4 linked regions of the Pelodiscus sinensis genome follow. The protein of the gene in region 1 purifies or fractionates together with the protein of each later gene. This does not show direct contact. Links are inferred from orthologs where the notes say so. Each region holds a gene or a part of one and is shown in the gene's direction. Other genes may lie near its edges. The genes, in order: H2AZ1, NAP1L1, ING3 and EPC2.

Region 1 (7,589 bases):
AGGATGTGGATCACATTAAAACTAACAATATAAAAAGGCAAGATTAAGGTTCAGGTTGTCCAGAAGTGCACGTTAGGTTTTAAATACCTAATTGTACAACAGCAATATTGCATGAAAGTCTGCACTTGATTTTTTTTTCCTTCCAAAAAAATCCAACACTGCAAATATTTTGTTGCTATTAGGATTTGAAAAACGCTGGACATATACTCGTAGCAGATTTTTTTTTTCTGTCTACAGTGAAATTACAGTTATGGGATTCCTGCTATAACAGCCTGTCTATACACAATGGCTGGGGAGGGAACTAGTGACTAAATAGTTAAATAGTTTAGTTATTTAAACTATTCTTGCAGTGGATTATTCTTGCAGTGTCAGTGTGACCTTATCTATCCATATTTTGGAACAGCATCAGCTCATTACACTAGCTTTACAAAGAAACTTTGGCATAGTGATATTCAACTTCGCAACACCTACCAGTGATTAGAAAAAGCACCATTATTCACAAAGCCTGCATTAGGTGCCTGGGATCCCTGTAGGTTGGCTGGGGGAGAACTGAGTACCTCACTATGGGATTCACACAAATGAACATGGTAGGTAGTTCTGCTTCTACAATAGCTGTGGGAGATGCCAAGCTGAGAGGGAGGGTGTGTAAAGCCCCATGCCTCTCTTGAGCCAGTCTGCAGGGAGGTGTCTCTTCCTGATTGGGATTCTTTGCGCAAAGCTTCTTTAAGTGTTCTAACAAGAAGCCTGTGAGGGGCATGACCTCTCAAAACTTTTAGTCCAGAAGTGGATTTCCCACCCAGGATGTGGGACACCCTCAGTTGCACACACTCTCTCTGATTTGAACTAAGCTAACTGTTAGGCAATGGGGTATTATGATGTGGGGCTCCCTCAGTCTCTCCCATAAAAGCTGTCCAAAGTGGATAAACAACTTTTTTAAAAGATCACTAGTTCAAGGAGATTGGATGTCTCCCCTTCCAGGCAAATGCTCCAGCAGCCAGACAGGCTACAGAGTCATCCATGAAATCTCTCTGCTCAATAGCCAGGGGACTCCCCCATTATGTAGGAAATGAAGTTCAAATTGCTGCTCCAAATCAGGCAGAGCAAGAATTTGAAAGCAGGTCTCTCTCATCCCAGGCAAGTGCTCTAACCACTGACTTATTAGCACTGATGGATGTGGCTGTTGACACAAGAAAAGGCTGACCTGCCTTAGGCACCTCACTGCAGAAGCGAGGTAGCGGCTGTGAATTCAGTCAAGGAATTTAACTACCTCTGAAGAATTTGGCCCTGCCCCTTGACATTTCCCACCAAAGTATCTGAGCCATTCCCACCAATGAGGAGTGTGTGTGGAGGTTTCAACCCCCTTTTGTAGGTATTTAACTTTCCCCATGCATTGGATGGCTCACCAGTGGCTGAGAATTCACTGTACGTCAGGGGAAACCAGTTTTATTTGTGAATCTAGCCCTAGATATCTAAAGAGGCAGACAGGGTCCTACAGTGATTCTCAAAAGTACCCGGGTGAGCAAGTCAAAATTACTTCAGTAGAAATTGAATACCCCAGGCATAGTTAAAAATCCTACATCTTCAGACATCCAAATAACTTTAAAAATGTGCCCCTTTGTCACCGGAGACACCTTATACAATGATCAAATAAATTCTATTTTAGATGAAGACTATTATAAAATGCTAATGGTACGTTCAAGATGGTAATGCTGCAATATCTAAAAATGCCACTTGCTTAGATTGCCAGACAATTGAAACTTTCATTGAGTAAGATATGTTGAAGGTCCACGCAGAGTAACTTGTTACAATATAAATACCAGGGACTTCTTATTTTTTGTTACTTATAAAGCCCGCCCATCATTAAATCTTTGAGGGTGTATGCACATAAAATATTCTGAAACTTTTGACCAAAGTTAAAATGACCCGTCTTCCCTCAGAACATTACTTGAGGAAATAACAGTATTATCCTCTCCAGCAAGTCTGAAAATGACCTTATCTTGCACTTATAAATAGACTTTTTCCCCTCAGAATACTGATTTGTCAAAATTTTAAGTGTTCTGTAGAGATGGTTTAATTTTGATGAAGGCTAGATGGCAAGCAGGCAGGGCTTCATGGAATCCTGCCAGACTTTCTATCTGGTGGATTGATGAGGAGTCTGGGAGTGGCTTCTTGACAGCCTGCCCTTTCAGTTTTCAGCATAGGATGACTTGTGGGGCTCATCTACACTGGCCCCTTTTCCGAAAGGGGCATGTTAATTTCACAGGTCGTAATAGGGAAATCCGCGGGGGATTTAAATATCCCCCGCGGCATTTAAATAAAAATGTCTGCCGCTTTTTTCCGGCTTTTAGAAAAGCTGGAAAAGAGCATCTACACTGGCCCCGATCCTCCGGAAAAAAAGCCCTTTTCCGGAGGATCTTATTCCTACTTTGAATAAGATCCTCCGGAAAAGGGCTTTTTTTCCGGAGGATCGGGGCCAGTGTAGACGCTCTTTTCCGGCTTTTCTAAAAGCCGGAAAAAAGCGGCGGACATTTTTATTTAAATGCTGCGGGGGATATTTAAATCCCCCGCGGATTTCCCTATTACGACCTGTGAAATTAACATGCGCCTTTCGGAAAAGGGGCCAGTGTAGACGTAGCCTTGCTGTGATAGGGACGCCCTTTTCATTGAAAACTTCTAAATTTAAGCTCTTGTTTTAATTCAGAACAAGATCAAACTTTGAGTTAATTCTGTTTGAGGATTTCAGTTTCTCAGCATAGCAACAATAAAACAGTAGGATGGGAAACGAATTCCTAAATCAAAAGTGCTTCACCAATCATCTCCTGCCACCACATTTACCAAGTTTATGACAGTTGACTTAGCAATTGCCATACTGCATCAATCAGTGATGTCTTTGGTCTCCTATCTTGACAGTGATTAATACCAGGTAATTCAAAGAAACCTGCAAGATACCTAATGGAGTTACATGGAAAAACTTCTAGTTCCTGACAAAATGTCTACATGGGGTTTTAGCTGAGTATAGAATGCCAATTAATTCTAACTCAAGGTTGAGGGCCTCTGTAGATATACACATAGGTTGCAATATGCTTTCAAAGATTTGTGCTTGAGAAGGGTGAGCAGAGAACTATTAATCATGTTAAGATAACTCCATTGGAAACATCTTCCTTCCTGATTGTCACTTGACTAGACCCAGAAGCGGCCCAAGGCTGGCTGCGGCAGCTGGCGCCCCAGGTGGAAGGCGCGATTGGCGCCCCCACCTGCACGGTCGTCAATGGCCGTGACGTAATGACGGGGCGCCCCTGACTAGACCCTTATTATGGTACACCCACCTCCCGCAGACACGCAATGGGTAACTGTTCTTGAGACTCATTGGAATAAATGGAAAGGTCCTAAAAAGTCTCCCCTTAGTCTAGGACAGTGGTCCCCAACGTGGTGCCTGTGGGCGCCATGGCACCCGCCAGGCCATTTCTGTGCACCCGCCGAGTGATCGGGGCCGGCCCTGAACCTCGGCGCGTGGCGCATGGATGGTGCTGGCTCCGGGCACGTGGCACAGGGGTGGCACCAGTCCCGGGCACGCAGCACATGGGCAGTCCCGCCCCCAGGCGCGCAGTGCATGGGGCTGTGCCGGCCCTGGGTGCGTGGCATAGGAGCGGCACCAGCCCCAGGCATGCAGCATATGGGCTGTTCCGGCCCCAGGAGTGCAGTGCATGGGCGGTCCCGCCCCTTGGCACCCGGCACAGGAGTGGCACCGGCCCCAGGAGCGTGGTGTATGGGCAGCCCCAACCCTGGCCGTGCAGCATAGGAACAGCGCCGGCCCCAGGAGTGTGGCGCATGGGTGGCGCCAGCACTGAGAACGCGGCGTATGGGTGGCCCTGCCCCCGGGTGCATGCACAGCCCCCCCCCCCCCCAGGTACCCGGCACGTGAGTGGCCCCACCCCCAGGTGCCCAGCACCCCCAAAAGGTTGGGGACCACTGGTCTAGAAGGCAGGAGCAGCTAAGCATTTGACAAAATAAAAGCTGTTGTGGGAAAACAAATGTAGCATGACCAACTCTTGCACTAAGTGGTATCTTCCTTAAAAACACTTGGAATGATGTGTGGCTGCAAGATAATCTCACCGGCTTTTAAGAAAACCTGCTTCTAGTTGCTCTACAGAGATCGAGACTTAAAACGTGCCCTCGGAGTACTCCAGCCCCAGGGAACATGTCACACTCCCTCTCACAAAGCGTCACGAGGCTCCTGATTTTTACAGCCATGTGGCAAGCCTGGGGGGGGGGAGGGGCAGGACTGACTCATGTTTTCTGAGCGCCCGTTTAGCAACCTTGATAGATGCACCAGGCACCCGCTGTGCTGAGCCAGGCAGCAGGGATGCCGGGCAGCTGCATAAGCAGTCACGAGACACAGGCCCCGGCTCCCACCTTTCCCCGCCCCGGAGCGCGACCCAATGAACCACGCACTCAGCACGCCCGTGAGCGAGGAGTGGTGACGTCACTTTAAATATGGACGGAGTCTTTTGAGGACCCGAGGAAGCGGGTTGCCCGCTCTTGTCAGTCACTCAACCCTACCAACTCCGCCCACTCGCTGGCCTATGATTGGTCCGGGCGCCTCAGCGAAGGCCCGTCCCCACTCAGTCGATTGGCTAGCAGCAGGAGCCGGGTTCCCGGATGCGGGCACGTTCGGTGGTTATAAAGCGCTCGCGCAAGGCGGGAGCGGGCGCAGTTTGAATCGCGGCGGGTGCTGGGCTCGGGCTGGTGTGGTTGGGCACGCGCTCTTTCGCTTACTACCCGTTTGTGGCGCTGCAACACCGCTCATAATGGTAAGAGAGCCGCAGGAACGGGGCTCAGCGGGGAGACTGGGGGGTGCGGCGGCTACGTCGCCTTGCTGCGGGAAGGGCCGAAGCTGAACTGAACGCGCCGCGGAGGGTGAAAGCGCGCGAAGGAAGGGGGTTAACGGTGGGTGGTGGCGGTTGCCTGAATGGGAGGTGCTCATGCTAAACCTGTTGGGGGAGGGGGAGAAGAGGAAAGAAGGGAGATGGCGCACGCGCAGTAGTGACGCCACCGATGACCGGAAGTGGGTGGGGCGCATGCGCTCGGGAAGCTGCTTGGGCCTGCTAGCGTGGAGGAATTAGACACGCTGGTTAGATACGGGAGGCGCATGCGCTTAAGGCGCCGCGCGCCGGTTACCTTCACTGCTTGCGTTCTGTATGGGGTAGCATGGGGCACGCTGCGCTTGTGGCAGGTGCTGCTCCCCATTAATCTCTGCTTTTTTGCCTTAGGCTGGTGGAAAAGCTGGAAAGGATTCCGGAAAGACCAAGACCAAGGCGGTATCCCGCTCACAGAGAGCTGGCCTGCAGGTGAGGACTGGGCGAGCTATCTGCTTATAGCACAATCGCTCTGGACTGGGAAGGGTTTGCTGGAGAGCCCTCCAAAGTTACGGCAGAATACTCTTATTGCAAGGTTTTTAAATCGTGAGCTTCTTACATGGAAGATCAGGTTGAGGAATTTGTCTAGTCCAACCCACTGTTCAAAACATACAGTGGACGACTGGATCACACCTATGCTAGTGTAATCTCAGGGTGGAGAGCCTGCTAAAAGCACTCAAACAGTTACTTGAATTGCAGGTGTATGCTTTATAGTCAATGAGCTTGAGCGCTCAATGTGTGTAGAGGGGGTAGTTGTGTGTTGCTGCCTGAGTGCTGTAGAGAAGCAAGAAGTGTAAGACTGCAACTTTACACTCTTATCCCAGTGATGTCTGTCTGCCAGTCCCAAGCCCTTCCATGTGATATGATTGGTGTATCTTCTATCTTACAAGCCATTTCAGGTCTGTTGATAAAGCCTGAGTCACTTTAATTCTATTCTGACCCTTTGCAGTTCCCTGTTGGCCGCATCCACCGACACTTGAAATCAAGGACCACCAGCCATGGACGTGTGGGAGCTACAGCTGCAGTATACAGTGCTGCTATTCTGGAGTACCTGACAGCTGAGGTAAAATTGAACCATGGGGAAATGTGGCAAGCAGCTGACATTGCTGGCGCTGCATAATGACCAAGGTTGCTTGTCTTCTGAAATACTTCTACTATTGGAATTTGTCGTAGAGTTGTGTTCAAGAATCCTTGGTTTAATCATTTTCCCCTACAAGCCCATTTAAGTTGGTAAAAACATAAACGGATGTCCCTGTGGTCTGTTCTCAACTAAAGTTAGGTTGAGATCACTACATTGCTTAATGTAGTGCCATTTTAACCAGAAAGGACACTCTCTCAATGACTTAACCACCTGCATTCTGCTACAAAGACCTTTTACATCTGCACTGTCATTCATGTTAAAATTCAACACTCTCCAAAAAGGAATGAACAAACACTTGAACTATCTTACCCATTATCAAGATAGCTTCCCCAATTATCACCTCTAATACCATTAACTCAAACATCCCATGCTCCCCACCTCTAATCATCAATTCAGACACTTATCTTCCTTCCTTCCCCCCCCGCATCTCCCTCGTGTTCTGAAATGTGATTTGTCTATTCATGTGTGTTCATTTCTTTTAATTGTATCCTTTGGTATATATGGTTGTGACTATTTTCTTCCACTATTTGATCTGAGGAAGTGGGTCTGGCCCACGAAAGCTCATCATCTAATAAACCATCTTGTTAGTCTTTAAAGTGCTACATTGTCCTGCATTTTACATTGCTTAAGGGTGTGAAGAATCTGCACCTCTGAACATTGTAGTTAAAGCAGCCTAATCACCAGTGTAGATAATGCTAGATCAATGGCAGATCTTCTGTTGGTTTAGTTTTGCTTCTCAGGGAGGCTTATTATCTATGCTGATGTAAAAACCCCTCCTGTTGGCATAGGTAATGCCTACACTTGAAATGCTGTAGTGAGAGCACTATAGCTATGATGCTGTTGCATTTTAAATGATCTTTTAAAACTGTTTGATCAGATCTGAAATGGTTTATAAGCTACCCCAATCATATTGCATGGAGGCATGTGTGACTTTTTTCCAAAATGTCACAACTCTTTTGCCTTACTCTTGCAAAATATCTTCCCCTTCAAACTATGGGGAGGAGACTGAGGAATTATCCTGCAATGCAATCTGTTAATACTGTGTCCAAACTTAACAGTGCAGTCTGCAAAACTGTTACACAAGACCCTGATGATCTCTATGTAGCCCTAGCCTATGGTATCTTTCCGGCTATTTTGAAGATGTCATTAACTACTGCAATCTCTATATGGTGGGTAGGGTCTGAATGTACTCTGTCTGCAGGTTCTTGAGCTGGCAGGAAATGCATCCAAAGACTTAAAAGTGAAGCGCATCACTCCCCGTCACTTGCAGCTTGCAATCAGAGGAGATGAAGAATTGGACTCTCTCATTAAGGCAACAATTGCTGGTGGTGGTATGTAATTCCAACTCATAGCTATTCAAACTAAACTTCAAGTCAAATAGACTTAATTGCATTTTACAAAATTAATACACAATTGCAGTACTATCTGGATTTTGGATGACATAGGGAAAATGCATTTCAAAATTGCCTTAATTCTTGGTGTTTTTTCCCTTAGGTGTAATACCACATATCCACAAATCTCTCATTGGAAAG
Region 2 (7,469 bases), on another chromosome or scaffold:
GTGTTGAGTAGATCTGGTTGGGAAATTTAGTTTATAAAAACTGAAATGGTTCACAGGAAAGGGTTGGGTGTGACTAATTATTTGACTTCAAAATGTTGAAAAAATTGTTTTCAGATTTTCTAAATGAAATATTCTAGTTTTCCAGTTTGAAAGGATTTTTCATTTTGAAATTTGAACTAATTATAGTAGAGATGTTAATAGTCAAAACTGAAATGAAATGTTTTGAAATTCTCAAAAAAAAGTTGTAATTAACCTGAATCAAAATATTTTTTTAATATTCAGATCATAGATATTTTTAAGATTTTGAATTTTTGTGCTGATTCAAGATAGGGTTTTTTTAATATCAGAAACATATTTACAGGATAGGAAAACTGTTTCCTGCCCAGCTCTCATGCTGACCTTTCCAGGGTGAAGTACACACTGCATTCTCTTTCATGTTTGTGCAATGACTAATCTAACTGGGAATCCTGCAGCACAAGCTTACCATGGATTCTGTTACTGTGCAAAAATTGAAGGTCTACCCTGAAAACTTAAAGTGACATAGTTATGTCTCTCAGGGGTGCGAAAAATCTACACCCCTAAGAGATGTAGCTATGCTAACTTAGCCCTTAGTGTAGCCAGTGCTAGAGCTACTGCCTTTTGGGAAGGTAGATTGCCTATGCTGACTGGAGAATCCTTCCTATCATGGTAGTGTCTACACTGAAGCACTACAGTGTAGTATCTAAAGCACAGCAGCTGTGTCACTGTAGGCTATGTCTACACTACATGTTTTTGCCTGTCCTGGAGAGGCATAAGGATCTTATGCAAAACAGGGTTTTTGCACAAAAAGGAAATGTCCATACTGCTTCTTTTTGCGCAAAAACCCCTGGCACAAAAAGAAACAGCAGAAAATATGCTAATCTTGTCACAGTTTATGCTAATGAGTCGCTCATTAGCATATTTTCTGCCACAAAAATGTGTAGTGTAGCCGTAGCCATAATGTTTAAGTATAGACCTACCCGGAACTAGTGAGATTGTTCTTTTCAGTTTAAAGCAAAGTGAGAAAGCTACATGATCCTCAGTGTTGCCATACTTTTGACCATATAACACACAAATCAGATGAACCTTAACTGCATCACAATAACTACCCAAAACAATAAGGACACTGACTTTCCAGTACATAGAATTTTCTGTGAAACTATTAAGTAAATTTGGGATAGTTACACGCACTCCAATGGATACAGCTATTTCTCTTCCCTCACCTCCTTTAGGCCCATTTTTTCATGTTCACTAATAAAATTATTTGTCCTATACTTTATTCTAATGATTTTATATAGCAATGGAAATAAACTACTTAATGTGGAATTTCTATCCAAGACTGATATTTCATTTAGGACCTGACCTTTCATTGCTATTTCCTATGGCTATGTATGCCACAACAAACACAGTTATTTACAAATTTGAATTCCAATCCATTGTTAGTTTGTGATGCTATATGGAATATGTGTGACTATATATAATATTATTGATGCCAATGTTACAAAATTGCAGTGCTTCTTACAAGATATGCCATGTAAGGTATCAGTGGAAAAGTTATGATGGCTAAATATGATAATCATGTTTATATGCACATATCATCTTTGTCTTGTAGTTATAAATGTGTGTGATATATTGATATTTCCAGCTTGTGCTGTGTATCTGGGTGACACCCTCAGACAGACTGGCATCAGCACTATGACCAGCATGCTCAATGACCTATTGAGTGCAATCAGATATACAATGAACCCATTGAAAGAAACATGGGGCTACACTTAAGAGTCAGCCAAACATGTCATGACATACCTGTGGACAGGGGACTCATGCTTTTTCTATGCCACATGCTGTGAGTTTGTGTTTGGGACAAAAGATATAGACACCACTGGCAAAAGATATAAAAAGCAGCTGCATCTTCTCCATTTTTCTTCACTCCTGTTTCTTACCTCTGGAATAACTTCTGTACAACTAAAGCTCTGAAAAAAGAACTGATAGACTTTCCATACTTTGGATATGTTTCAGAAAGACATTGCAAGCCAGAAAACTTACCAATGCAACTAAGAATCTGAAATACGTAATCTGAAGTCATATATATGTATCTGATTTCTCTGACAATTCTCTACTTGTTTTTTTTATATAATAAACCTTTAGTTTTATATATTAAAGGATTGGCTGGTAGCATGGTACTTTGGGTAAAATACAAACTAGTATTGATTTGATAATGTGGCTGGCCCTTTGTGGATCCGAAAACATTTTGTATGGTGAACAGTTTTAATAACTCCTCCCCTTACTGAAACTATTTGCTAATTGGGAGACAGAGAACTGAATGCAATAAAGGGGTTGTGTGATATTTTTTTTAAAAATTTAGCTTCTTGATAACTAGCATAGGGATCAAGAGCTCACTTTGGGTGCTATGCAAATTGCATAGCTTATTTTGAGGTAATTTCAAAATAGCTGTGTCTACATAGCACCAAATTTCAAAATAAAGCGCTATTCCAACAAATTCCTTAACCCTCGTGGAACAAGGGTTACAGGGATGCCAGAAGAGCACACCCATTATTTTAAAATATATTTAGAAATAACGGGCACGTTTAAAGATGCAGAATTGATACTTCCAGTATCCCGAAATAGCCCCGCTATCTAGATGTAGCCTTTGTGACTAGATGGTGAATCTAATCACAGTTTGTCACTAGTTTTGGGAGAATTTGCTCTCCTTTTCTCAGCCTACATTTTGACATTTTCAGTGTGGGTTACTCAAGGTCCCCCTCCAGTCACATAATAGTGTATTGTATGCAATCTCTAGTATATTTCATTTTTGAAATTATCACTATAACCAGGGGCGTCAGATCTTAACTTTTCTTCTCATATTTAATCTTATTTCAATTGTTTTCTTTTTTTGAGTTTATCAACTTTACATTATATCTTCTCCACATCCTGAAATTTATTTGGGCTTATGTCTAATGCCAATTTCTAGTTTATTACTTTTTGCTTCTGTTTTCTAGCTCCATGAGCAGCCTTTGTAATGTAAGACAAAAGTCACAATTTATCCTTGGACAGTTACAAATATTGAGAAATGAAGGATACTGAAAGTCTCTTATGTCAACAGGTGCACAATCACATCTCAGCATTTCATTTTATTCAGACCATGTCATTTTCTTTTGCCTTCTTCTACTGTATTCCAAAAGTTCCATACAGTATATTTCTTTAAATTGCTATCTTGAAAATATGCTTCTTGTGAGGAAATTTGTTCTCATTTCACAGAAGCAGAACCAAGTGCAAAACAAAAAGTTAGGAGGGAACTTCATTCAAATCTACACAGCAATTTGCATGCGTTGGTTGCTATCTCATGTGACAGTTCAACAGCACTTCTGTTGTGTTATCTGCAGAACTGTTTATACACAACAGTTTGTTTTCTGAGTTAGTGTTTTATTCTATGCAGGAGGGGATTGGACTGTGTTTGTCACCCTTTGGCTGGTGGGGTGTATGTTGTGTTTTGGCCTGCAACAGAGTGCAGGTGTCATGCGTCAGCCTGGAAGGGACATGACTAGCCTTAACATGAGGCAGAAGCGGCCTGAGGCCAGCTGTGACAGCTGGCGCCCCAGACGGAACGCGTGATCGGCAGGGCCATCAATGGCCTGACGTCATCGTCGCGCACCATGGGCGCCCCTGTGACGTCATCATCGGGCGACCCGGGCGGTGGCGCACTAGGCAGCGGCCAAGTCCGCCTATAGCCACAGACCGCCCCTGCCATGAGGTGAACTAAGGCAGCCGCCTCCGGTGCCAGACTGGGGGTGTGTGTGTGCCACTAGCACCCAGTGTAGAAAATTGTGTCTGCTGCTGGTACATGCGTATTCTCTCTGCAGTACCATGAGAGGAGTAGAACAGGAAGAAGGCAGAATTGAGACCTTTCAAAGTTTTGGCCCAAGCTAGGGACATGAGGGTGTCATTTGAGCTCCCTGCCTCAGGTGCCAAAATGTTGTGGGCCGGCCCTGTGAAGGGAATTTGTGTGTAGTATGCTCAGCCTGCGCTGCAGTGCACTGGTGTGTGATCACACTTGGGATTTGGTGGGATGGCTGTGTGAGCCAGATCACACTCAGGCACGTGTTTGCACTCACATTGTGCGTGTCTGTGAAATCTCAGGTGGGACCTGGGGGGAGGAGGCTGTGGGAGAGATCTCACGCGGCCCGGGCAGCTGCGGTCAGGGCGTAGGCGATGCCCACATGTGGGGTCTGGGGCTGTGCGCGCTACGCTCTGCGAGCTGCTTCCCATGCTTCGGCCGGGCTGCCCGAGGCTGTGCCCCGCCCGCGAGCCCGACCTCTTCGCGCGCCCGGTTGTCCGACCCCTCGCGGGACGGAAAGGGGCGGGGCCGATGCCGGACAGCTCCCGCCCAGTCACTCATCCCGGCGCGCGCGCGCGTTGCCTAGGGACAGGCATAGGCGCGCGGGGGAAGGGGGAGGAGGGGGCAACGTGGTGACGTTATTTCTATATGAGCGCGAGCGGCGGGAGCTTGGGTCTTTTTTACCGCCAGTCGCGCGGCGGCTTCTTCCTCGCTCCTGAGTCACTGCGAGCCCCGGCCCGGCGCAGGTAGCGGGGAGGCGGCTGGCGGGGGCCGTTGGCGGGATGAGCGGCCCGGCTGTGGACGGGCGGGGAGAGGCGGGCGGGCGAGGGGGGACTCGGCCGGGCCGGGCCCCTGTTCCGGGGTCGGCAGGCAGGGGCCGCCACGGGCAGGGCCGGGCCGGCAGCGGATGCGGCTGGGCCGGACGGAGTCTGCTCCCCCGGTGTCTGCGCGGCGCGGGGCCCCTCCCCTTTTGCGGGGCCTTTCTGCCCCTCCCCAGGGAGCAGCGCCGGGTCTGCCCCTCCCCCGGGGCCGCCATGCTGCTGGGGTCGCGCTAGGCCGCGCTGCCTCGGGCCTGGCGGCGGGGAGGGGGGAGGCTGCCTGCTCGCAGCACGTGGGGATGGCGCTGCTCCGGCCTGTGCCTGCGGGGAGGGATGGGAGCTAGGGGGCGGGGTGGGTGGATGGGGGAGGCTGTTCTTAGGCGGACTGGGGGGGGAGAGTGGGCTATGTGCGGTGGGGGGGGGGTGGGCTGAGGAGTGTCGTGGGGGGTGTGCGCCTGGGGTGGGTAGCGAAGGTGCCTTGCTAGCTCTGGCTCCTTGCGCTCTCCCTGGGAAGCGTGGCGGCTTCTGTGCTGCGCAACTTGTTACTGACAGGCGGACCCAGCGATTCAGAGCCTGGCGACAGATAGCTTGTTCCCCCTTCCTCTTCTTTCCCCCCGCCTTTCGAAGAGCTGGCTCTAGTCACTTCATAGCTTCCCCCCTAGTCATGGTACCTAGTGAGTTGGGCGCTGCATGCTCCTCCTTCTTGGTGCTTACTCACCATTCCAAGTAATGGTCTGGGTTATGGAGTGGTCACTTGTCAAAACGGAAACTTGATGTATTGGTAACCTCCATAACCTGAGCACGTGCCAAGCAGTGCAGAGGGGTTGTTTTTATAATGTTGCCAGTTGGGTAATACTACTTCTATCAGAATATATTCTCTGGTCATCTGAAGAAGTGGGCTGTGCCCACGAAAGCTCATGATACCATCTACATGTTTTGTTAGTCTATAAAGTGCTACCAGACCATTTATTGTTTTTTAAGTTTATCCCAAGAAACCAGGAAGGCACTTACAACATGAATTTCTATGGCAGTTCAGCTTAATAACATACACACAAAACCAAACCTTCTTTGGTTGGTAAAATAACTCTCTGAAAGTAAACGGAGGATAATCAATGTACTGATATTTTCCTTAATGCGTAGCCAAAAATTCAATATCTTTGCAGTAGCAAAGTGAAATTCATAAGATTTGTTAGCTGTTTGGAGCTTGCTGGATGGAACATTCATGTATAAACATCTTCATAAATGTGTAAATGATTAAAACAATTTTTCTAAGTTTCTAAGGGACCTAAAACAAGTCTATCTCCTGTTTCAATGCATTCATGTATAGCATGCTTCTTGGGAAATGTTAAGACCACCAACAGCAGAGGTAAATACTGAGATCCTCAGGGAAAGAGGAATCAAAAGACCAGAAGACTGGAGTACAGGCAGTCCCCGGGTTACGTACAAGATAGGGACTGTAGGTTTGTTCTTAAGTTGAATCTGTATGTAAGTCGGAACTGGCGTCCAGATTCAGCCACTGCTGAAACTGACCGCCAGTTCTGACTTACATACAGATTCAACTTAAGAACCCCAGGCGTCCCCAAGTCAGCCGCTGCTGAAACTGATCAGCGGCTGATTCCAGGAAGCCTGGGGCAGAGCAACTCTGCCTCGGGCATCCTGTAGTCAGCGCTGGTCAGTTTCAGCAGCGGCTGACTTGGGGATGCCTGGGGCAGAGCAGCTGGGGTGCTGCCGGGTTGGTCCAGTAGTGCCCAGAGCGGTGCTGCGGGACCAACCGGCAGTGCCCCAGCTGCTCTGCCCCAGGGTCCACAACAAAAGCCTGGTCTGCTGGGGGTCTCCAGCAGATCAGGGACACCAGGAGCAAAGCCAGAGGCGTGGGACCCCGCCGCGGCTGCGGCTTTGCTCCCGGTGTCCCTGGTCTGCTGCGGACCATCTCTAGCAGACCAGAGACACTGGGAGGAGGAGGAGAAAAGTAGACTGTCTGGCTTAAGAGAGTAGAGGCTCTGGAAAGTGTATGGAAGCACCCTTTTTAGCAGGTAGAGATACTAGGTTTCTTACTTGGCCTTGCCTGGGGGGGGTTGTGTCTGGTAAACTTTTCAAGCTCTTACCAGAATTATACTGAATTTAAATTGAAACAGGAGATGGACTTTTTAGGTCTCTTAGAAATTTAGAAAAATTGTTTTAATCATTTACACATTTATGAAGATGTTCGCTTATGTGAAAAGATGATATTGAATAGAGGTAGGCATTGTGCATTTGTGTGGCAGAGCTCTCCTGCAGCTCTTCTTTCTTGATCTGAGATTACTATTCTAGGTGGATATCACATTCCTGAGAATGTAACCAAGTGTTGCTAAATTAAATTTCTGCAGATCATTGACTTTGGTAGGAAGTTGTCCATTATCAGATTTTCCAAAGTACAAACTAACTACATGAAATAAATTCATTCAGAGATGTTAGAAATTAAACAGATGCCAAAGGAATAAAAACAATGTTGGGATCTTGTGTCGAATTAGTCTGTATTATCCCTATGGATGCAAGAGACCGCTTCCATCTCTGATGCATCACCCAGGAAAAGTCAGTTCTGCTCCACTGGATGTTTCAAAAACGTTTAGGTATTTGTCTATGGTAAACTGGGCTATGCATCTGTCCATCTTAACCTAAATTGGTCAGTAGTTGTATGGTGAACTTAAGGGAGAGCTAGGTGCTCCAGAAAGTGATGGAACTTGTTGGATTTTGAATGTGTTCATCTGTGGATTAATCAGATTTTGCACATGCTCACAAAATAACAAAGTGGGCAGTATATT
Region 3 (7,259 bases), on another chromosome or scaffold:
TTCCACTCAAACTTTTATTATAGAGATCCTTGTCCCTTCCTTTGATACAAGTCACTAGATAGAATCAGGATGAAGTACTGGCTGGACCACTGGTCCTGCACTGGTATGGTAATTCTTATGCTGCTGACAAATCAACCCCATTTACAACTCTCTACCCATCACCCATCAAACTCCATTTACAATGCAAGCTGTTTGGGGGCAGAGATCATCTTTTCATTCTGTTAGTACAGTGCCTAGTATAATGGGGTCCTGGTACATGACTAGGGTTCCTAAATTCTCTGGAAATACTACTACTAAAACAGCCAAACCCTGTCCTTATTGGACTGAGATGAAACATGAAAACTTCATTCCGAAATGGCATTTTTTTAGTAAATGATGAAAGACTAGAGGAATTCAACCACAAGTCTAATTACCTCTGAGAGGGCCATGGTTTCCTATATTTTGGACTAGGGGTGTTAGATACCATGTATTTCAGTAACTGTACAGTTGGAACAGTTTTAAGCAGTTATATGGTTACTAAAAATAGTCTGGGGCCAGGGCTGGCAGCCAGTGTGCTCCCAGCCCCACTCCCAGGGAATGCCCCCTGCTACCCTATGCTGCTGCCTCTCCACAAGGAAAAATGGCTTAAAAATTGGCACCCTATGCAGACCACCTCCCACTTGCCACCCCACGCTGCTGCCTCTGATACAGAGGCAGCAGGGTGGGGTGGCAGCAGCCCCTTTTTGCAGGGGGTCTGAGCTCCCCATGAACAGAAGCTGCACCAGCATCCCACTTGCCCCCCATATAGAGGCAGCAGCACAGAGGGATGAGGGGGTAGGGGGCTCTGTGGAGTTGGCATACATGCACAAATGGCTTAAAAGCCGGCTTCCTCTGGGCACCGGTTCCTGCCTCACATCCCCTTTGCTGCCTGATAAAGGGGCAGGGGAGGTTGAGTGTAGCTATTTTAGTTAACCCATAAGTCTAGGCTTATGGGTTAATCATTTAAATGGCTATACGTTAATATCCCTATTTTGGCCCTGACCCAGAGTCGAGTGCATTCAATGGAAATATTCTCAAGTCAGTGGGTTTAAGATTAGGCCCACATCATATTTTATATAATAACTGAATATGGACAGTGGCAGCCTCTATTAGTGATTCATGTGATAATATATGGAGTTAGTTGCATAATACACTTGGTACATATGTAACCCACAAACCTTATGGATGTGATGTACTGTCTCATGTAGTGGCACTGATACCACTTACAGCGAGAAGAATGCATTTGCTCTACAGGCTCAACTGAGAACCAGCTAGCTTTTAGCTCAAGCTCTAGAGGCTCATGCACTAAACTCCAGAGGACCCAGGTTCAGTTCCACCCATTGACAATACATATACATTATATTAGTTACATACATATTGTTGACCCATGTGCAGTATTCCTAACTTCAGGGGTTCAGAAATGAAAAGTCAGGCTCCAAAATACAGAGCCAAAATTAGTTTAGTTTCAACACCAAAATACATTTTTATTTGAGGTTTTCTGGGGCCTTTTTAAAGACTTGCTATATTTTCAACCTTTTTTCTGACTGGAATCCTGGGCTGTGTCTAGACTGGCCAGTTTTTCCGGAAAATCAGCCGCTTTTCCAGAAAAACTTGCCAGCTGTCTACACTGGCCGCTTGAATTTCTGCAGAAGCACTGACTTTCTACTGTAAGAAATCAGTGGTTCTTGCGGAAATACTATTCTGCTCCCGTTCGCGCAAAAGTCCCTTTTGTGCAAAACTTTTGTGCAAAAGTGCCAGTGTAGACAGCTCAGATTTGTTTTCCGCAAAAAAGCCCCGATCATGAAAATGGCGATCGGGGCTTTTTTTGCGGAAAAGCACGTCTAGATTGGCACAGACGCTTTTCTGCCAAAAGTGCTTTTGCGGAAAATCGTCCGTGCCAATCTAGACGCTCTGTTCCGAAAATGCTTTTAACTGAAAACTTTTCCGTTAAAAGCATTTCCGGAAAATCATGCCAATCTAGATGCAGCCCTGATGTCTAGTACTATACATTTTAAAATCAGTGATGCTGCTTCCCCTGCATGATACAGAGGATATGCAGTTGGAAGTGGCAAGGAGGATCAGCAGTGCTAGTCTCCCACTGCCTGTTCAGGTTTGGGCCATGACTCTCCAGAAAGGCCTACGGACAAGATGCCAAAACAGAGTGAGTGACATTGCAACCTGGTGCAGTAGGATCACTTGTCACACAAGGGAAGGAGTGCAGGGTCATCGGTGCAGCTTTCCTTCACTGCCACAGAATGTGCTCCTGCTCCAGGCCACCAGCCTTGCAGACCATGTACTCACTGAATGATGGGATGTGACATTTCCAAGATTGCCAATCATCAGTAAATTCATGAACAGTCCATAAAGAAGAGCTAAAATTGGACCTGTTTGTAAAATCCATAAAAAAAATCTAGGTATCACTAAAAAACACTGAGCTTTGGAGCACAGCTGAGGAATCCCTCCCACTTGGTGCCAAGGCAAGCTCTAAGCTAGGGGAGAGATAGATACGTTGAAGGGTAGGGATAGGGTCCAGAGTGACCCAGACAAATTGGAGGATTAGGACAAAAGAAATCTGGTGAGGTTCAACAAGGACAAGTTCAGAGTCCTGTTCTTGGGACAGAAGAATCCCAAGCACTGTTACAGGCTGGGGACTGACTGGGTAAGCAGCAGTTCAGTAGAAAAGACCTGGGGATTACAGTGGACGAGAAGCTGAATATGAGTCAACAGTGTGCCCTTGTAGCCAAAAAGTCTAAGGGCATATTAGGGTGCAGTAGTAGAAACATTGCCAGCAAATGTAGGGAAGTGATTATTCCCCTGTATTCGGCACCGGTGAGGCTGCATCTGGAGTATTATGTCCAATTCTGGGCCACACATTACAGAAAGGATGTGGATACATTGGAGAAAGTCCAGCAAAGGGCAATAAACATTGTTAGGGGGCTGGAGCACATGATTTACAAGGAGAGGCTGAGGGATTTGGGCTTATTTAGTCTACAGAAAAGTGTGTGTGGAGGGGGAGTGGGGGGGGATTTGATAGCAGCCTTCAGCTACTTGAAAGGGGCTCCAAAGAGGCTGGAGTCAGGCTGTTCTCAATAGTGACAGATGACAGAATGAGGAGCAATGGTCTCAAGTTGCAGTGTGGGAGGTCTAGGTTGGATATTAGGAAAATCTATATTACTAGGAGGATGGTGAAGCAGTGGAATGGGTTACATAGGGAGGTGGTGAAATCTCCATCCCTAGAGGCTTTTTAATTACAGCTTGACAAAGCTGGGATGATTTAGTTGGGGTTGATCCTGCTTTGGGCAGGGGGTTGGACTGGATGATATCTTGAGGTCTCTTCCAACCTCCATGATTCTGTGATTCACTGGGCAGCTCCAGGGACTCTACAATTTCCATGGCAGGGGCAGAGAGGGGAATTCTCCTGGTGAAGATGGCTTCAGTCTCTGATGGTTGGAGGATGCTGCCTCCAGTTTTGAACTCTGTTTCGGTATCCTTAAAGTCAGCACAGCAGCAACTTTTGGTGAGTGTGTGTGCAGCACACACTTCTGCCTGGCTCCCTTGGACTGGGAGAGATGAGTACAATGTGCTGGGCATCAATCACCAACTGCCTGCTGGTAAATCACAGGACTGGTGGCAGCCCCCAGTCCCAGCTCCTCCCCCTCTCCCCCCAGTCACTTCATCACACACTGGAGAACTTGGAGGGCTCTGATGTGACTAATAAGTAGGTGCAACTAGCATAATAACTTTGCTGTGTGACCTATGAATTAAAACAAAGAATATTGTTCACTTTGATCCTTTTGAGCCATTTTCATGTTACATAAGAATGTGTCCGAACACAAGCCGGGGGGGGGGGGGGGTCTGTATTTTTTTTTTCTAAACGGTCCATAAAAATCACTTTCAGAAGCTGGCTAGCCTGGATGCCGCCCTTCGGCAGCGGCTGAGCACAGCGCACGGTGCCTTGGCCAGCGCCGGCCCGTGGAGATCGCGCTGGGGCTTGGCAGCACCCCGCCACGCGCTCCACACCCCGCCTGCTTCTGCCTCGTGGATTAGCCCCGCCCCTCAACTCCGGGGCGAGTCCGTCTCTACTGGGAGGAGGGCAGCCGCCGCTGGGCGGTGCATTGTGGGACATGTAGTCCCGGCTCCCGCCTTCACACGGCTACTACGTTTCCCAGGACCTTGCGGGCGGGCGCGAGCCATGGCGTACGTCAGAGGCGCAGGCAGCCAATCGGCGCAGGGCCGGAACGAGCCCCGTCCGCCGCCAATGTTGTTTTCGCCGAGTCGAGGTGCTGGTGTTGTTGGCGGCGGCGCCATATTGGAAGGGACGATCCCCGCGTTAGCGAGAAGCCCCTTCGCGCTGGCCTCGCCGCCGCCATGCTGTACCTGGAGGACTATCTGGAGAGTGAGTGCGCGCGGGGCGGGGGTCCCAGCCGGCCGGGTGGCCGAGCGGGACGGGGGCGGCAGCGAGGGGGCTCCCCCTCCCCCTCCCATGGCGGTGATTGACTGCTCCCTCCCCCTCCCCTCTGTGTCCCCGCAGTGATCGAGCAGCTACCCATGGATCTGCGCGACAGGTTCACCGAGATGCGCGAGATGGACCTACAGGTGCAGAGTACGTGAGTCCCGCCCACCTCCCGCCCACGCGCCCAGCCCGCCGGCGGGGGCGGGCGCGGACCCAGCGCTCTCAGTCAGGCGTTGGCCGGCGGCGGTAGCGCGGCTCGTAGCCGCTGCTCCCGGGCTGAGCGGGCCCGGCACGAGGGGACGCTCCTGCCCAGCGAGCGGTCCGTGCGGGTGCCGGGGGTAGCCGCGGCGCCTCACGCAGCGAGGGGCGGAGCGCGCTGGGCGGAAACGTGCCGAGCTGTTTCCCTTCTGCCACCGGCTGCCTCGTGACCTCGAGCAGCCATGGGCGAGCGGCGCCGGGTGTGTTGACATGACACCGAGCCGAATTCGGGTCTGCAGATGCCCTGCGGCAACGCCAGGGGGAAGGAGTTTCACTGCTGGGGCTTGTGCGGCGCCCCAGGGCAAGTCAAGGTGGCACTTACCAAGCGGTGGGGTGCTGGCTCTCAAGTCCCTGGCAACGGGCTGGAGCTTCACTTGCCCCCTTCTATCAGCCGGAGGCTGTGCACTGTGTCTGAACCATCCCTGCCTAGGCATGCTGGATGAAGGAGTTCCCTACACATCCTTTTCCGGTTGCTGGCACCCTAGCTGTGCTTGTCAGGAATCCAGTCTTCTTGGGTATCTTTGTGGTATTCCTTTTTGCCATCCACTTATGGCTCATTTTCTATTTTTACTTTTGTTTTTGGGAGTCCTGCCTTTTGACTTCCTTTGACCACTTGTTCCTGTAGGGATTCAGTGACAGGATACCACAGAGGATGTCTACCTGGGATTAGGTTTTTGCTTTGATATGATTCTTCACGAAATCTCCGCTCTTTGTGAATCTGAGGTGTTGAAACATCATGCTTTAAATAATTTCTTTGATTTCCATATGTTGTCTTGATTTCTCAGACAGGTAGGAAGGCAACTCAGCAGCATCATACTATATCCTGGAGATGATCTTTAATGGATGAGCAAATTAACAGGTTTGGGCCTACAGTAGTGCCTTGGATCCTCTTGCAGATGTAACCCAATTAACTTAAGTATGGTGGAGAATGCCACCTTGAGGCACAATCCTGAAGACTTTCATCCATCTAGCAATAGATCAATCCATAGGTTTCTGAAATAAAAGCCTTAACCAGTCTTGATCTCTGAACATTGAAATTTCTTGTTGTCCCAGTGGGTCTGGTTCATCAGTCTCACCATCTCTGTTGAAGCATTCTGCACCTGCCCTCTATATCCAAGGACTCCGACGTGTCTCAGCCTTTGTGTACTTTAGGCTTCAGGGCTTGGAGTCATTGATATTGAATTATGACTTAAAAGGTGTTGCTAGTTCTTACAATGTAAGTAGGTGATACCAAGAGAAAACCTGCAGCCCTTTGATTTTTGGCAGCCTCTAACTGAGACCACAAATATATCTCTTTGACTCATGATTTGGTGCTTCTTTGGACGGGGGTGAATCTTTTCACACACAGTATTTTTTTTTTTAACCAAGATTACCCTAATGTCATGGGAGTCAATAGAAAAACTTTTTTCCCAGACCTTTGTAACTCCAGTGTTTCTTGTGCTTCACAAAGTAGTGTAGAGCTTTCCAAAGTAGTGTAGAAATTCCAGGCACTCTTCTTATCTCTTCCAATCCAGCTGTTTGTGATCATGACTGCTGGTTGGACATTACATATGAATCAGAGAACTCTTGGGGTGCAGCAAGACTGTGATCAATGCAAGGATCCCATCTTCCCAAAATTTTTAAAACAGCTGTGTAAGTCAACTGACTTGAGTGGGTGTTGGTTTAGAAACTTAGAAGTGACATCTGGGCCAGGAATCCCTCTCTGTTAGAATTAAAATTACTCTTGCACCATGTTTTAGACCATCTGGGGGACTGGGAACCTCTCATTACTAAATAGTCATAGAAAAAGTATATAACTTCAAGTGATGTGTTGAAAGTTTTTAAGATCAAGTTGTAGATTACCAAGCTTATGTAGCCTAAGGCCAATCTCTGGAAAATGCCTTCACCCTGGTAGAACATTTTGGCAAGAGAAATGCCAAGGTCTTTAGAAAATTGGCTCATAAGGGCTGCTATTCAATGATTAAGAAAAAGTTGTGGGTTGTGTCCTGTACCAGACCTCTTTGAGGACCTAAAAAATAAAGAATGGAAAGGCTGCCCTTCATTCTTTTGGCCCTCCTCCCGCAAAGGAGGGGAGGGAAGACCTTTTTTTCCCAAAAGCTGCCTCTTATTAACCATAGTGGATTTCAAAGGAACTTGGCTGAACAAGCTATTAAACCAGCAAAAAAACCTTGCTTTTAAAAAAATTGTTCTGAAGTATTTAGATATCTGGTCACTATTCCTGTGAGTACCTTTTATTGTCTTGGTGAAAAGGGGAGAATAAGAGCTCTTTGGGCATATTGGTCATATGCCATTGTTCTATGTGCTGTAAGATTAGGTTTTAAAATGGTGTAACAGAGCAGCTGAATTTCTCCCTGACTTCTTGAAAGCCATTTACCCAAAGGACTTAAAAAAGCAAGTGGACATTGTTTGGTATGTACATAGGCTTGCATAGATACCTTGATTTGCCCTGCACAGAAACTAGCTGGCTATGTTTTTCTTCTATTTGAGTTCTATTAAAGGCTTAGTCTGATGTGGTAGCTTTTTCAGCCTG
Region 4 (6,903 bases), on another chromosome or scaffold:
ATGCGCAGGAATATGTGTTCTTGATCTTATAACTCACTTGGTTAGGTCCAATAATGGTATCAGCAGAATGAATATGTAGACAAAGCTGGCAACAGGATTTGTTGCAAGGGAAGGTACCAGGGTTGGTATTAGTGTGGTATGTCCTGTGGTTGTTGGTAAGAATCATCTTGAGGTTAGGTGGTTGTCTATAGGAGACTATGGGTCTGTCTCCCAGAGCCTCTTGGAGTATGGTATCCTGTTCCAGTATAGGCTGTAGTTTATTGATAATGTGTTGGACAGGTTTAAGTTGGGGGTTGTAGGTGATGACAAGTGGTGTTCTATTGTTGGTTTTCTTGGGTCTGTCTTGAAGTAGATGGTTTCTAGGTATTTGTCTGGCTCTTTCAATTTGCTTTTTTATTTCTCCGGGTGGGTAGTTGAGGTTTATAAATGCTTGGTAGAGATCCTGAAGTTTCTGGTCTCTGTCAGTGGGATTAGAGCAGATGTGGTTGTATCGAAGGGCTTGGCTATAGACGATGGATCGTATGGTGTGTTCTGGATGGGAGCTGGAAGCATGTAGGTAACTGTATGAGTCAGTGGGTTTTCTGTAGAGAGTGGTGTCTAATTTTCCATTGTTGATTTGTACTGTGGTGTCCAGGAAGTGGACCTCTCCTGTAGAATGGTCCAGGCTGAGGTTGATGGTGGGGTGTAGGTTGTTGAAATCTCTGTGGAATATCTCTAGTGTTTCTTGGCCATGTGTCCAGATCATAAAGATGTCACAAAGATAGCGTCCCCAATTATCACCTCTAATACCATTACCTCACAGACACTTACCTTCCTTCCCCCCCCCCCCCGCATCCCGCTTCTGTTCTGAAATGTGATATGTCCTTTTCATGTGTTCATTTTTTTAAATTGTATCCTTTGGTATATATGGTTGTGACTATTTTCTTCCACTATTTGATCTGAGGAAGTGGGTCTGGCCCACGAAAGCTCATCATCTAATAAACCATCTTGTTAGTCTTTAAAGTGCTACATAGTCCTGCATTTTGCTTCAGTTACACCAGACTAACACGGCTACATTTCTATTACTGTGTTAGTGATGATATTCTACTTTGAGGCTGTGTCTACATTGGCATGATTTTGCGCAAAAGTGTCCGCTTTTGCACAAAACTTGCTGCCTGTCTACACTGGTGGGGAGTTCTTGCGCAAGAACTCTGACGTTCTAATGTGTGAAATCAGGGCTTCTTGCACAAGAACTATGATGCTCCTGCTCAGGAATAAGCCCTCTTCCGTAACTGTTCTTGTGCAAGAGGCCAATGTAGACAGGCAACATGAATTTCTTGCGCAAGAAAGCCCGATGGTTAAAATGGCCATCAGAGCTTTCTTGCGCAAGAGAGCGTCTACACTGGCACGGATGCTCTTGCACAAAAGCACATCTTTTGCGCAAAGGCACGTGCAAGTGTAGACGCTCTCTTGTGCAAATACTCTAAAGCAAAAACTGTTGCGTTAAAGAGTATTTGCGCAAAATCTTGCCAATGTAGACGTAACCTGGGAGTTTAGATGGTCTCCCATTGGTGGGTAGGATGATAGTGTTAGTTAACTTGTATCCAAATTTTAGATGGCTAACTAGTCCCCTGAGTTATATTATCAACTTCCGTAGGAGAAACATGGAATCCCGAGCTCAGGTATTTGACAGATTTGTGTAGAAGGCCTAAAGAAGTCAGTCAGGGTTTTGTTTAAGTACTGCATGATTAGAGGCAAGGGGCAACACGTGGGGATCGAACACAAAAGGGTCATGTGTTCCCCAAATTGCCATGGAGGGAAGGGCATAGGCTTCAGGGGGTCGCCCCCTCTCCCCCACACACACACTCATCAGTGGGGAAAACAGCAACTCAGTGCAAGTGGGATCAGGCCCCACCCCATTAATTCTTCAGGACATGTTGCTGAGGGAGGAAGTTGGGGAAAGATATGAGGTTGTGATGGGAAGAGAGGGGGCCCTCCCCAGGGCTCAGGGTAGCATAGGGAGGAGTCACATGGGGCAGTCACATGACTGGTGTGCTTCCCTTATGTTCCTCCCGAACAGTTGCCACTGATTAGAGGTTATGATGAACCTAATCCAAATCTCACTGAAGTCGATGGAAAAATTTCATTTTATTTTAACAGGTGCTGAATCAGACAAAATTTGAGGTAAGAATCTGGCCTAACAACTTTCAAATGAGATACACCATAGGCTCTTACTGTTTTTGGTAAGTAAAGATACCATTCATTTTCATTAATGTAAGTACAGTATATTAACTCAAGTGACCTAGTTAAATTCCTAATTGGGTAATTTGTAGTTGTGGCATCCTCAGGATATTAAAGATGCAAGGTGGGTGAGGTAGTATCTGTTTTGGATCAATGAAGAAACAAGCTTTTGAGTATGGGTGGTTGGTGCAGCTGGGACTGGGGGAGGCAGGCCTGCCCCCACCTACAGCCCTGCCCTGTGCTGAGCCTGCTCTCCTCCCCAGGAGGTGGTGGTGGGGCAGCACACCCCACAGGGAGGGAAAGAGACTGGACGGGGTGAGCAAGTACATGCTCCCTGAAGCAGTAGGAGAGAGAGGAGGGCACACTGTGCAGCCCTAGCATTTGGGAGGAAGGAAGCCATGTGGGTCCAGCCTCCCCAGCCAGGAGTACTGGGGGCAGTACACTCTGCCCCAAGAACACCAAGGGAAAAGAGAGAAACGATGGACTCGTCGTCTTTGCATTATTAGCTCAACTTAAACTTATGTTGCTTCTTAACTTTAACCTCTGACCTGTGTAGACACAAGTTTCCTGCTTGAGCTAAGTGCTGCTGCCACTCCTGCTGAAGTGGGTCTCTGCCCACAAAACCTTATGCTCCAATAAATCTGTTAGTCTATAAGGTGCCCCAGGACTCCTCCTTGCTTTTGCAGATTTAGACTAACACTGCTACCCCTCTGATACTTTGCCACTCCCGTAGTAATACAGTGGGGATTGAGCTACTCTGGGATGCTAATGCATTATTTGTGATTTGACTGCTCTCACAGGAAATAGGCTACCAAGAGGAATTACCTCATGCATAAGCAGTGCTTTTTTTTTGATTAAAAAAATGTGCCGGTACACCAGGGGAAAAGTTGTTGAGCTTTGACTGGAGGTGCGGGTACTGCGTCTGGAGGTGCGGGTACCGAGTACCCGACAGTACCTGCACAAAAAAAGCACTGCGCATAAGTAACTCTAGCTAACACTGCAGGATGCTTTGGGAACCATGGCAGAAATCCTTGTGTTTTTTTTTTAAGTTTATGACCAAATCTCCCATTTGCTTCAAAGGCATCATGTGTACAATTGGCTGTGCCAAGTGTTTTCCCCTTGCAATATGCGAATAATGCATGAAAGGATGAGGGAGCTACAGGGCTATGCAATGCCAGGTGATAGGTGCATGGAAAAATATGTATTAGTGTACGATCTGCAGCTGTGTGCGGCGCAGCTTCATGCTGCGGGAGAGCTACATCCCGGTCTGCTGGGGGTAGGCAGTTCGGAGGAGGCGGCGGTGGTGTCTGGCGACGGGCCATGCAGGTGTTTGCGCAGCGGGCAGCGGTACCGCTCTCCGCGTGGGACGGGGCCGGGCGCACGTGAGGGCAGGAGTGTGTACACACAGACACGCACTCGAGCAGGTCACCGCGTCGGATGCTTGAGGAGTCGGGTGAACGCACCTGTTCGGCCCGTGACACGAACTCCTGTCCCCGGCCGCCTGCCCAGCCCTCACCCCGCAGCCAGGGTCGCGCTGCCCCCGCCGCGCTCTCCCTCAAGCCCTCGCCACAGGCTGGTTGCGCGCGCAGCCCGGCGCCCCCTCTCACTCCCTCACCATCCTTCCCCCCCCCCCCCCCCCCCGCCCGCTAGTTCTCGCGTTGGCTGCCGGGATCGCTGGCCGCTTTGGTTAATGTCCGCCATGTTTGCCATGGCGCAGGGAGCGGATCGAGCGAGCCCGGCGCGGATCTAGGGCTGCGGGGCGTGCGCGGCGAGCTGCGGGCGGCTCTGCGGGAAGCTGAGCCGGGGCGGCGGGGCTCTCCATGGTGTTGTGGGCCGCGTGCGGGAGCGGCTGGGAGGCGGCGGCGCGGCCGCAGTGAGGGGCCCCCCGCCCGCCCGGCCCCGGGGTGTTATTGTGAGGGGGAGACAATGAGCAAACTCTCCTTCCGAGCCCGGGCGCTAGACGCCGCCAAACCGCTGCCCATCTACCGCGGCAAGGACATGCCCGACCTCAACGACTGCGTCTCCATCAACCGGGCCGTGCCGCAGATGCCCACGGGCATGGAGAAGGAGGAGGAATCGGTAAGGGAGCCGCGCAGGGGGGGCACCATTGTTTATCAGACACCCCCTCCCCTCCCGGGAAATAGGCCATTGGTATTCGCCAAGCGCGCTACGCACGCTGAACGCCGCAGCCTTGCGTGGTCCTTATGGGTCCTGCGCAAGAAGCGCAGCGTAAACTCTCCTCCGACGCCGTAAGCGGGCTCTGCTCCGCCATCTTCTTTGCGTCCAAACTCGCGAGTGTTTTGATTAGCCGGGGAGGCCCTTACGCTAGCGTAAGGGAGAAGTAGGCGCAAGAGGCATCTTTGAATGCGGCAGTGTGCGCGCCGGCCGCTCTTGGCGTAGCGTGCTTGTGCTGCTGCACTCCTCACTGTTGTGTATGTGGGACTCCAAGGCAGCAGGGGAGTGGAGGGGGCTGTCTACGCTGTGCTCCTTCCGTGCAGTCAGGAAGGCTTTGCATTGTAAAATGGAAGTGTGTCCTGCTTCTAAGCTGCCATACTATGGGTATCAGCGTCCCTGACGCTACTCGAGAGTGAAATAACTTGGTGGGAGACCCTATTCCCACATTATATTTCAAGCTGTCAAATACAGACTGCACTTACTTTCTGAGTTTGGATGTTAACTGATGCATCAGTGTCGGGAGCATGCATGGCTTGCAGTAGCTCAGCTGTCCATTGCCGCGGTGCTGTAGCGGCCGTGGGCATTATAATGTAAAGCTTTTGTGCTTCGTTGGTCAATATTTTAAAATAACATGTTTGGAGCTTTTCTTTTTATCTTTCCATTGCTGTGCTTGGGGTGATATTGCAGCCTGCAAAACACACACACACTCGGGTGCAGGCTGCATTATTTACACTCTTTAGGAAAGGCTTTGTAAATGTTGCAAGTAGAATACCAGCTGTCTGCTGTTGCAGATCGTATAGTTGTAAATATATCATCACTGCTGTAAGAATGCTCTGTATTTATATGTTTAAGAAAAATGGTAACTGTATGTTGAATATGTGAAATACCATTGCATAGCTCTAACTGGATCTATAGCTAGACCTAGATTTTCTAGTATACAACATGCTGTTTAGTGTTAAGATGATTTTAAGTAAGCTAATCAATGTTAGGAAACGTATCACCTGTAGAATGCTTGCTGTCCAATTTTGCAGTGCTGTGTGTAGAGATACATTGCTGTCTGTATATTTACCAGAAAATAATTTTAAGAGGAGTCTTGTCAGCATTAGGACAGCACTGTGAATACTTGCTGTCCATGATTGCAGTGCTGCTTGACTGTAGTCTTCAAGACTACCACTTGCACTACTAGGTTTTCATCAGACTTGCTGTAGTTGTATGCAGAGTGGAGAGTAAATGCACCCATAAGAATTTCTTCAATGAATTTCTGTCTCCGCCTTGTAGCCAGCCCACTATGTGCATGGATTGGCTTATCAGAGGTTGTGGCTGTCAGAAGAAGGCTCCAACTCTCTCTGATTGGCTTTCTCAATACAGTAGAATATTGAAAGAAATCTTGTGATCAACGCTTAGAGTGCTCTCGCTGTATTTTGATCATAGAGGTTGCAATTGCCCTGGAATATATGTGTGTATTTAGATAATTTTAAACAGACAGCCATAAAACATTCTGAACAGTATAAACATAAAACAATAATTTTAAAGCAAACTTGGAGATTGTACGTTTTACTTTTCCTTTGCAGTAAAATGTAATTTAAAAGTCACAGTAGCAGACCTTGCAACATATTGCTTGTTTGTGAATTATGGAAGCTCTTTAAAAGGCAAACATGACTCTTGATTTAGACTTTTAAAAAATATAAGTGGCAGTATTGGCCTGCTAAACCCAGGGTTGTGAGTTCAATCCTTGCGGAGGCCATTTAGGAGTTCGGGGCAAAAATTCATCAAGGATGGTACTTGGTCCTGCTGAGAAGGCAGGGGACTGGACTCAATGATCTTTCAAGGTCCCTTCCAGTTCTAGGAGATAGGCAATCTCCATTATCTTACCTTATCAGTATTTTTTTTAGAATCTTAAAATATACCAGTGTTCAGAATGTTACTTGTTAAACTAAGTAAATACATCAAATACAAATTTTCTGAGTTCTGTATTCTGTTGTTGAGGAGAAAATGTCATAAATTGCCTGTGTTATTGTTACACTAGAGGTGTGTGTGTGTGTGTGTGTGTGTGTGTGTGTGGGGGCGGGGAGGGTATTGGGCTAACTTATATATTATAAAATCCTTTTAATGTGTAAGTGATTTTTAATGTATGAACAAAATAAGTGCTCCCATTACATTAAAATGGGAGGGAATTTGTATATGTTAAATTCTAAGGTCATTACATACTGAGATTTGTGTGGTATAATATATAACGATGTCATCATTATTTCTCATTACATTTCTCATTGAATTATTATTTCTCATTGAATTTCAAGATCTACTGATTAAGATTGTTTTCACTATGTTTGCAACTGTTTTTACTACCTTTACTTTTTACACTTTTGTCCACTGGTGCAAGAAAATTGTTTTTAATGGAAGTTTGAGAATTAGATTTAAATATGATAAAGTCATAGTGGAGAAGCTAAATGAAGTCTTTGCTTCAGTCTTCACGGCTGAGAGTATTGGGGAGATTCCCAAACCTGAACC

The links.
Region 2: the proteins of H2AZ1 (region 1) and NAP1L1 purify together in Homo sapiens (affinity purification with mass spectrometry; 3 studies listed by BioGRID and IntAct, with this or other methods). This does not show direct contact. The link is inferred for Pelodiscus sinensis from reciprocal best matches to the Homo sapiens genes H2AZ1 and NAP1L1.
Region 3: the proteins of H2AZ1 (region 1) and ING3 purify together in Homo sapiens (affinity purification with mass spectrometry; 5 studies listed by BioGRID and IntAct, with this or other methods). This does not show direct contact. The link is inferred for Pelodiscus sinensis from reciprocal best matches to the Homo sapiens genes H2AZ1 and ING3.
Region 4: the proteins of H2AZ1 (region 1) and EPC2 purify together in Homo sapiens (affinity purification with mass spectrometry; 3 studies listed by BioGRID and IntAct, with this or other methods). This does not show direct contact. The link is inferred for Pelodiscus sinensis from reciprocal best matches to the Homo sapiens genes H2AZ1 and EPC2.

The regions. Positions count from the first base shown.
Region 1 is NC_134715.1:23,414,865-23,422,453, reverse strand, and holds the start of H2AZ1 (histone H2A.Z), read left to right. Parts: upstream 1-4,568; 5' UTR 4,569-4,583; coding exon 4,584-4,811; intron 4,812-5,270; coding exon 5,271-5,348; intron 5,349-5,865; coding exon 5,866-5,979; intron 5,980-7,258; coding exon 7,259-7,388; intron 7,389-7,551; coding exon 7,552-7,589. UniProt on the Homo sapiens protein: Variant histone H2A which replaces conventional H2A in a subset of nucleosomes. Nucleosomes wrap and compact DNA into chromatin, limiting DNA accessibility to the cellular machineries which require DNA as a template.
Region 2 is NC_134711.1:68,096,502-68,103,970, reverse strand, and holds the start of NAP1L1 (nucleosome assembly protein 1-like 1), read left to right. Parts: upstream 1-4,453; 5' UTR 4,454-4,596; intron 4,597-7,469. UniProt on the Homo sapiens protein: Histone chaperone that plays a role in the nuclear import of H2A-H2B and nucleosome assembly.
Region 3 is NC_134711.1:42,743,942-42,751,200, reverse strand, and holds the start of ING3 (inhibitor of growth protein 3), read left to right. Parts: upstream 1-4,254; 5' UTR 4,255-4,386; coding exon 4,387-4,414; intron 4,415-4,549; coding exon 4,550-4,621; intron 4,622-4,654; exon of another isoform or gene 4,655-4,939; coding exon of another isoform or gene 4,940-5,030; intron 5,031-7,259. UniProt on the Homo sapiens protein: Component of the NuA4 histone acetyltransferase (HAT) complex which is involved in transcriptional activation of select genes principally by acetylation of nucleosomal histones H4 and H2A.
Region 4 is NC_134717.1:26,031,037-26,037,939, forward strand, and holds the start of EPC2 (enhancer of polycomb homolog 2), read left to right. Parts: upstream 1-3,885; 5' UTR 3,886-4,146; coding exon 4,147-4,299; intron 4,300-6,903. UniProt on the Homo sapiens protein: May play a role in transcription or DNA repair.